Linked DNA regions of Mus musculus: regions 2 and 3 are each reported to be linked to region 1. Evidence: microRNA targets listed by miRTarBase, many of them from high-throughput screens and not tested one by one. Region 1 holds a microRNA gene; each other region holds the end of a gene's coding sequence.

What was found. The annotated mature microRNA mmu-miR-302a-3p reads UAAGUGCUUCCAUGUUUUGGUGA and lies in region 1 at 1,680-1,702, opposite strand. An mRNA with a match to its seed (bases 2 to 7 or 8) in the 3' UTR can be bound and repressed. Matches are read on the target gene's strand: a 7mer-m8 pairs with bases 2 to 8, a 7mer-A1 pairs with bases 2 to 7 and ends in A, and an 8mer does both.
Region 2: the mRNA of Lats2 is a reported target of mmu-miR-302a-3p. Seed matches in the 3' UTR shown: 8mer at 767-774 and 7mer-m8 at 866-872.
Region 3: the mRNA of Zbtb41 is a reported target of mmu-miR-302a-3p. Seed matches in the 3' UTR shown: 7mer-m8 at 1,315-1,321 and 8mer at 1,163-1,170.

The regions. Positions count from the first base shown.
Region 1 is chr3:127,544,241-127,547,240 of GRCm38, reverse strand. It overlaps Mir302a (microRNA 302a), which reads right to left and starts at 1,745; the gene lies at 1,677-1,745. It overlaps Larp7 (La ribonucleoprotein domain family, member 7), which reads left to right. Exons shown (of 13, transcript NM_138593.2): 3 at 51-151; 4 at 237-320; 5 at 423-587; 6 at 672-765; 7 at 838-1,194; 8 at 1,271-1,415; 9 at 2,963-3,000. Gm51018 (predicted gene, 51018) reads right to left here and starts at 2,152. Exons shown (of 2, transcript NR_146435.1): 1 at 2,095-2,152; 2 at 338-607. Mir302b (microRNA 302b) reads right to left here and starts at 2,013; the gene lies at 1,940-2,013. It also overlaps Mir302c, Mir302d and Mir367.
Region 2 is chr14:57,688,744-57,691,859 of GRCm38, reverse strand. Lats2 (large tumor suppressor 2) reads left to right here. Exons shown (of 8, transcript NM_015771.2): 8 at 90-2,198. The coding sequence ends at 572. Among named protein-coding and RNA genes, the nearest start is that of Gm26440, 7.5 kb to the left of the region's middle.
Region 3 is chr1:139,447,260-139,450,375 of GRCm38, reverse strand. Zbtb41 (zinc finger and BTB domain containing 41) reads right to left here. Exons shown (of 11, transcript NM_172643.5): 11 at 1-3,116. The coding sequence ends at 2,846. Among named protein-coding and RNA genes, the nearest start is that of Aspm, 6.0 kb to the left of the region's middle.

The DNA.
Region 1 (3,000 bases):
CACACATGTATATATTCCAGTGTTTAACATCCCACTATCCTATTTACTAGATGTGGACATTTCTCTCCTGGTGTCTTTTAACAAAATGAAGAAGCTGACAACTGATGGGAAGCTAATAGCCAGAGCATTGAAAAGCTCATCTGTTGTAGAGGTAAAAAACTTACATTTCAAGTCACCCACATCCAATTAACTACTGACTTTATTTAGCTTTCCTTTTTTTTTCCCCCCTCATAAAGTTGGACTTAGAAGGGACCAGAATCAGGAGGAAAAAACCCCTAGGTGAGAGACCAAAGGACGAGGAGGAACGCACGGTATATGTGGTAAGAAATGACACAAATTTTAATTCTAGTTCATTTATTTATAATTCATTTATTGGTAAAAATGTAGGAACTTTAAAATGTTCATACCATGATTTATTACAGGAGTTGCTCCCCAAAAATGTTACTCATAGCTGGATTGAGAGAGTATTTGGGAAATGTGGCAATGTGGTTTACATAAGTATTCCACATTACAAGTCTACTGGGGATCCTAAGGGATTTGCCTTTGTGGAATTTGAAACAAAAGAGCAAGCAGCAAAAGCCATTGAGGTACGTACTTCTGTGGGACCCTGAAAAGTAAAGAAAAAGCACAGGGTTAACAAGAGTAACAAATTCTGCAATCAATCTTTTCAGTTTCTGAACAACCCACCAGAAGAAGCACCTAGAAAGCCTGGTATATTTCCCAAGACAGTGAAAAACAAGCCCATCCCTTCCTTACGAGTAGCAGGTGAGTGCTTACTTAGAGTGGCCAAGTAAACAATAAACTATTATGACTGTAAATAATAAAATCTTGTTACAGAAGAGAAGAAAAAGAAGAAAAAGAAAAAAGGCAGAATAAAGAAGGAAGAGAGTGTGCAGGCCAAAGAGTCGGCCGTGGACAGCAGCAGCTCGGGCGTGTGTAAAGCCACGAAGAGACCAAGGACGGCCTCTGAGGGCTCCGAAGCAGAAACCCCGGAAGCTCCAAAGCAACCTGCAAAGAAAAAGAAGAAGCGGGACAAGGTGGAAGCATCCAGCTTACCTGAAGCCAGGGCAGGGAAGAGGGAGAGGTGCAGCGCCGAGGACGAAGACTGCCTCCCCCCAAGGCCAAAAGCTAAGAAAAGGGCTCAGAAGGATGGCGTCGGCCAAGCAGCTTCCGAGGTCTCCAAGGAGAGCAGAGGTACCGTGGCAGTAGGGTTACAAATGTTTTAACCAGTTTAACCACAACAACGGACTTACGGAAATCTTTTTTCTAGACTTAGAATTCTGCTCTACTGAGGAGGAGAAGGAGACAGACAGAAAAGGTGACTCACTCTCAAAGGTGAAGAGGAAGCATAAGAAGAAACACAAGGAGAGACATAAGATGGGCGAGGAGGTTATACCATTGAGAGTGCTGTCCAAGTAAGTGGCCACTGACACAGGTCCATCACCATTGCTAAAGTGCAATTCCAATTTCTATTCAACAGAGTTGCATGTTAGCAACAGTGACGGCCTTGGTCTATCTATATGCAGCACAATGAAGATTAAGTAGGAGCCACCACACTCAAACATGGAAGCACTTATTTTTAAATGCACAGCAAGTGCCTCCATGTTAAAGTAAAGGAGGCCCCTTAAGCAGACTTGAGTGGTCTTTACAAAGGCATGAATATAAAGGAAAACATACCATCACCAAAACATGGAAGCACTTACTTTCTTAGGTCTAAAGCAAGTACAACCACGTTTAAGTGGTGGGAAGCCCAGTCAATAACTCCCTTAACCTACAGCATCTTAGAGAAAATGTTGAACAGTTTAAGACACCCCCACTGAAACATGGAAGCACTTGCTTTTGTTTAACACAGCAGGTAACCCCATGTTAAAGCAGAGGGGACTCCCATCAGACTCTGAATTAAAAGGCTAGCTTTCTTATTCCAGAGTTTCTTGAATTCACTTCTACTAAAACATGGAAGCACTTACTCTTCGATGAGACAGAAAGCATTCCCATGTTAAAGTTGAAGGGAACCCACCCACAAGGCAACTAGTTAAAACAGAAGAGCAAACCCACAGGAAAGTAAAGTGACCCGGTTACAGACATAAGCTTTACCTCCTTTACCTTCGTGACCGCCTCCCAAAGAGTCCTGTTCTGTCCTCGGAGGGTGAAAGACGCCGACTTTAGACCACTTGTATTTATACTACTCCTAACTCCTGAGTTCCTTTTGGCTTTCTATCTCTGAGAATCATTACAAGACCCTTTGTTATTTTAATGTATCAGCTCTGGGGAAAGTAGGTCCTGGGGACCTGGGTAGGTCTGGATTTTTTTTTTTTTTTTCCTTTTTTGAAGTAAACAGATGTCAATGTTAACTGCTAAAACCATTACCACAAGATATCCTCCTCTTTAAAAAAAATCTCCTATCTGCCCGTTTGATGGCACAGATTAGGGTAACAATGAGCGCTCCCACAGAGCCAGGAGATGCATTGTGCTTCTCTGGAGGAGCCCTAGCTGTTTGAAGATACATCTACATGTTAAATGTATGTAAATAAATAAATTGCTTCCATGGGGTGTTTTTTTCTTCTTAGAAATTCCTTTTGATTCAAGTAAATCCTAAGGAATGTTAGCTCTCAAATTGGAAGCAATTTGAGAAATCTTTAAGTTTTAGTCTCTTACTTTTTCTCCAGGTTGCCTGATTTAGTGATTTTACTTAATAGAAGTGACTCAAAAGTGATTTTACAATTAAATATTAGAAGCAACCAGGAAACTCAAGCATTTTCCTTGCCTGTTAAGACAAAGAAACTTCCTTTGTGTGTTTGCTAGGTAGCTTTAACAAATGGCTTAACAAATAATGTAAACATATGCCTTAAAAGAAAGAAAAGTCAGAAAGACTTGCAGTTCCTATGAACATTGTGTTTAGATCAACTTCAGATTTCTAGTTGGGTCGTCTTATCACTGTAATGGCTCAATTTTTGTTTTTCAGGACTGAATGGATGGATTTGAAGAAAGAGTATTTGGCAC
Region 2 (3,116 bases), not on the chromosome of region 1:
AGGCTCACACTTGTTATAGCTGAGGTCGAGGCTGTGCAGGCTCAAGACTTAGATCGATGGGGTGCTAACAGTGGTTCTGCTGCCCACAGGTGATCAACTGGGAGAGCACGCTGCATATCCCTACGCAGGTGAGGCTCAGCGCTGAGGCCCGAGACCTCATCACGAAGCTGTGCTGCGCGGCTGACTGCCGCCTGGGCAGGGATGGGGCAGATGACCTCAAGGCACACCCGTTCTTCAACACCATCGACTTTTCCCGTGACATCCGAAAGCAGCCTGCACCCTACGTCCCCACCATCAGCCACCCCATGGACACCTCCAATTTTGACCCGGTGGATGAAGAAAGCCCCTGGCACGAGGCCAGCGGAGAGAGCGCCAAGGCCTGGGACACGCTGGCCTCCCCCAGCAGCAAGCATCCAGAGCACGCCTTCTATGAGTTCACCTTCCGCAGGTTCTTCGATGACAACGGCTATCCCTTCCGGTGCCCGAAGCCCTCAGAGCCCGCAGAGAGTGCAGACCCAGGGGATGCGGACTTGGAAGGTGCGGCCGAGGGCTGCCAGCCGGTGTACGTGTAAGCCTCAGTTAACCACAACTCGAGGAAACCCAAAATGAGATTTCTTTTCAGAAGACAAACTCAAGCTTAGGAATCCTTCATTTTTAGTTCTGGTAAATGGGCAACAGGAAGAGTCAACATGATTTCAAATTAGCCCTCTGAGGACCTTCACTGCATTAAAACAGTATTTTTAAAAAATTAGTACAGTATGGAAAGAGCACTTATTTTGTGGATACCCATCTTTTTCTTACTAAATTATAAGGACTGACTGTGAGAAACCATGCTGCTGTTATTTCCATGTGTGTTGTATCTGATAGCACTTGTCCACAGCTAGAAAAGGAAGAGCTGGAGAGCGTGAGGCAAGACGTCTGTGCAATAAGAGAGGATGAGGCGACGGAGCTCTGCTCAAGTCACGAGGACCGCTTATCTACACAGTGGCTTAGTTTTGTATTTTCCCACATTTCAAATTGTGATGTAATGTTTGAAAGCTGCTTTTGTATTTTCTCCTTTGCATATTATAGTTCCTAGAAAGAGTGAGCAGAGAGCTGGTGGGTGTGACTCCGGTGTCTGGTGTGGAGAGTACTGCATGAGCAGGGGTTTCTAGTATAAAATACCGTATCTTGCCATTCACAGCAGGTCCTGTGAATACGTTTTTAAATGAGGTATTCTAGACAGTGTGCTGATAATGTATTGTGTGGATGTGTGTTAAAGAAATGCATATGTATAACTGAAGTGTGATTTTTTTTTAATGTGTGTGTGTCTTGGATATGACTGAGTTCTTCGGGAGGCAAATGTAAACATTTGTCATATATAAAACACATCAAAAGGGATTAAGTCAGCTTTGCCAAAACATTGACATAATTCTAGCGTTTTGTCCATTTCCGTAGTCCTGTCTGCTGTCAGGTGTGGCTGTGGGAGCTGGACCCTGCTATTCATTCTTTCACTCACAGGGTTCCCGCAGCCATAGGTGATGTAAGGGTCCTGCTTCCTGTGTTCTCAGCCAACCAGGAGGTTCTGTGAAACCCAGTTCTTTGGGCCTCTTTCACATGAGAGGTGTCTGTCACATCTCAATGTGACTTAATACGTTTTTCTAACTTTGTAAAAAGAAAAAAAGATTCTTTGAAGCAACATTGGAGTACAAAAACAAGCCATACTTTTTTCTTAGACATATAGGTGTGTATATAACTATAGATAAACACACAAAATAGTCCTTATTTCAAATTAGTACGCTTCCTACTTAAGGTGATTTATATTTGAGTACATTCAGTTTCTTTTGCTTTTCAAGGATGGAACACATCCCATTTTCATTATGCTATGCCAAATCTTCTCACCAAGGTTCTTAGCACAGTGCACCCGTTACTTAGTATTATCTAGGCAGAAACACTTACAAATTTATCTATGTCTAAGAAACATTCCTGTGTCTGGTTTACATTTGTATGAATGGCATATTCTGAAGTCTGCTGTGCTTGTATTGTGACTTACAGTATTCTCGCTATTTTGTAGTAATGCCGTGTTATTTACAGCGCTCTGACATAGTTTGATGTGGTAGGTTCTTTCTCAGGAACTCAATTTAACTATTATTTATTGATATATCATTGCCTTTGAAAGCTTCTACTGGCACAATTTATTATTAAAACTTTAAAGCCTAGTCTCTTCATTTGTGGTGTTTTGTTGGAATTTGTGAGATATTACATAATCAGCATGCCCGGGGCTTCCCACACTTCCCTGATGATTTACCTACAGCCAGGTACAAACAGTCTAAATCAACCTGAGATCGATAGTATAACAGAATCTGTAAAATGGGGATAAAATATATCTGCTTAGGGTTTTGAATGGATTGAGATTCAAATAAACACAGGTGGCAGGTGATAAACTCAAGGGTGAACGGCTGCAACTCCACCTGTGTCGTCATGACAACCATGGAAGAGGGACAGGAGTATGTGGTGTCCCCTCAAGCTATTGGCACAGTGAGGAGTAACCTTGACCCAGGGATTAACCCTTACTGGATTCATTCACAGTATTGGAGGAAGTAGAGAGTGGGTGAGGTGTAGCAGGAAGCCCGGGGTGCATGCCATGCCCTGGCCCTGGCCATTGTAGGGCGAGCTGTTCTGGTGAGTGGTGAGCCTCACCTCAGGCCCTCACATGGGATGTGCTGACCACAGAATCTTCTGTCCTCTACCACAGCTTTACCTGTCCCACCAGGGGAACGGTGACCGACAGAAGCTCGGCCTTTTGTTGGAAATAGTGACTGGGTGATTGGTTTAGTCTTTCTATTCATAAATCTAGTCATACGGTTTAAAAAAAAATCATTATTTCCCGATAGACAATGGTCATACTTGTGCATCCTGGGAGAAGTGCAGAATCAGGAGAAATGTACAGTACCTCGGGAGGATACTGAGCCTTTTTCACCAGTTATCTTGGCAATGGGTTGTTGAGGTGATTTTTTTTTTTTGGCTGCACCACTTTGACCTCACCATGTAACCCTGGCTGTCTGTGAACTTGCTATGTAGAACAGGCTGGTCTCAAACTCACAGAGATGGCACCTTGCTCTGGGATTAAAGGTGTA
Region 3 (3,116 bases), not on the chromosome of region 1:
ATTCACAATGAGGCTAAACGTACGTGTGAGATTCAAAATTTTAACCATAGTTACAAAATAATGATTTTAGAGTCATAAAAAGGACAACTAAGAAGAGTAGGGTCTATTTTATAATTTTTGTGCTAACTTAAAATATTTATACATTCAGTTTTCTCAAATCCATGTTCTTACATTTTTGGAAACTAGAGGGAACAGTAATCTTTTCATTATTATGGGTTTCCTCATTTCTTCCTAAATATTCTACTGTCTACCTGCAGACTGCGTTAGGAACTGGAGAACACAGTCCTGCACATAGTAAGCCTTTTTAATGCCATGTGTCTCCTCCTTCCACTCAAGGCAGTTCTGGCATGAGAGTAGAGTCAAATGACTCTAAATGACTCTCAGTATCTCTCTAAAATGGAAATACATCATTTCCTTTCTATTTCAAAATTGCTTACTAGGTTCAAATGAGATAACATGAAAATGGTTTAAATAACAGACACTATTTCAGCTTTTCTACAATAATAGCTAAGTACAATTATAAAATTGTATGCCACTTTACATAAGAGCTATATTCTTCAAAAGTCCTATGTAAACCAATTACTAAAATTAAGTCATATATTTAAAGTGTTAGAATATCATTATTGAAAGAACCTTAAATACCTTCAAAACCCAAGGTAATATTTCCACTGTGAAAATGCTGTATCCTCCTTTTCTGTCAGAATATACAATTCATCATGCACATAAACACATATATAACATTTGCCTTTTCTGATAAACCCAAAATTTTCTACATTAGCTTATCTCTAAAGCAAAGTACATTTCTAAGTATGATGTTTTCATTTCAGTAAGATAGTTAGAAATCTTCTCTGCCTTTGGATAGAAATCACAAATCTGTACTCTTGACAATGATTTATAAGTCCAGGACTCATAGTGCTCAGACTCTACTCAGTTATCAGTGCCCACAGAACACTTCCACACTAAGTAAGAAGACTTTAGCAATAATAATACAAAATTAAGTTCACTAGTCCAAAGACAATTACAACAACCAAACTTTGATAAGTGAGGCAAAACTCAGGTTATCTTTATTATTTATATTAGCTACTTTGGTTAATGCCTCAATTTGCAACATGCTCTTTGAACATTAATATGGCAACTGTTCCTATAAAGTACCTTCATTTCTTAAGTGCTTAAACAGTTTCCTCCTTTTTGATTACATTTTATTCACTAGAAGTTTATTATTTTATTTGTGATATGTTTTCAAAACCCACAAGGGCCAAGCAAAACGTTACAGTTTACACACACACACACATACACGCACACACGCACACACAAAAGTGCTAAAAGCAATTAGGAGTGTAAACAAATTGAAATAGAAAAGTTTTGACAACTGCTATTTTTCCAGTAGTTTCCATACAAACTGCATGTTAACAGTGAGCCAACCCTACCTGTCTTAAGCATCAGCAACCCCACAAGGAAAAACTCATCCTATATTAAGATGAAATTGAGTTGAAAATAATGCAAAGTGCACATCTCTAAAGATATTTCGTAATTCTGGAAGATTTTGTCCTTCACTTAAACTTAATCTGTGAAGCGCTGCTGTAAATCCTATTTTCTTTCACCAAGACTTCAACCACTGCCTCATCCAGAAACAATGAAGAATAGAGACAAATCTCATACAGAAGCAAAAAGAAAGATCTGGTTTAAGTGTCAATCTATACACCAACAGTAGTGCACTCAGCTGAAGAGCATCCTGTTAAGTTAGGGCGGATTTGAGAATGGGTTTGGCACCTTTTCTGATAACTACACGTAAAATATCTAGGTTCTGTTTCCCTGCTTCAGTCAGCCAAATGTGGTAAATGAAATGCTAACTCCATTGTGTAACTGAACTGCCATCACTTTAGTTACACTTGTCCCTTCCTTCCTTACTCATCTGTAGATACTGACACATACTGGGAACGAGGAGGAAGTGCCCAAATACAAAATGCCAATGTACATTGATGATATGTAGGTGAAACTGACAGTTTTTCATTACGATATACTCAATTAGATAATTTAATGTCTAGAGCTAAGTTTGTATTTATTACTTATCATAGTTGAGTACAGGTCCAATCATCTGGATTAAAATAACAACCTTATATTTCATTTAGCATGCTAATCCTGTAATTGTGAGCTCTTGGATTTTGGCTTGTGAAAAACCCAAATATACTGACAAAAAGAATGGATAGATGACAACCTCAAAGTATCAAGATTTTCTTACAAAAATATGTAAGAAATTTCAATAAGTTTCTAAACTCAACTTTGAAAATCTGAACAAAATATTTAATTAGTATTAAAATTTTGCCAATATTGACATATGTTTACATTCCTTCCTATAGGCTACATGGTTCTTAAAACTTCATAGCAATATGGGAAACGGACAAAACAGATGATTAAAAGTAAAACCTTGGCTTGGGGCTCACACCTGTAATCCTAGCAACTGGTTGGCTAAGGCAGAAAGTCTATCACAAATTGAGGCTACCTGGGCTACAAACTAAGACCCTGTCTCAAAAAAAACAAACAAACAAAAAATTCCACTGATGATTAAAAAAAATACCTCCACCATTGTCAGCAGCTAATAATCTGAAATTTAAAAATTTCAAAATTAGTACTAATGATTTTTTTTTAAAAAATCATACTTCAAATATGTCAAAATGTGTCCAAGTATTCAGTCAATAGAAATAAACTTTTCTTGATTTGAAGCTGTTCTGAAGACTTGAGAAATTAGGGGAAAAAGATGGGGGAAAAAATAGCAGCCCTACTAATTCAAAAGCCATTAGCTTCTGGCTGTCAGCTTACAGCATTAAAAGGCCTATGGAATGGTTACTCATGAACGATGCTCACTACTGCACATATTCTGGACAGCAGCTGTGCTATCAAGGCCCAGTAATGTCCCGAGATAAGATGGTTCTCTAGGATCTAGCATCTGTTCGGGTCGGACGGGATGAACTATATTTGCAGGCTGAGGAGTAAGAGTGTATTTTTCCAGAAATGCTAAGTCTGCTGCACGAGGATAATCAGTTGACTGTGGCTGTGGTGGCAGCATCTCATGGGACGATGTGGGAAGTGTGGTGGTATGAGGCACCAGATCGCTGGAT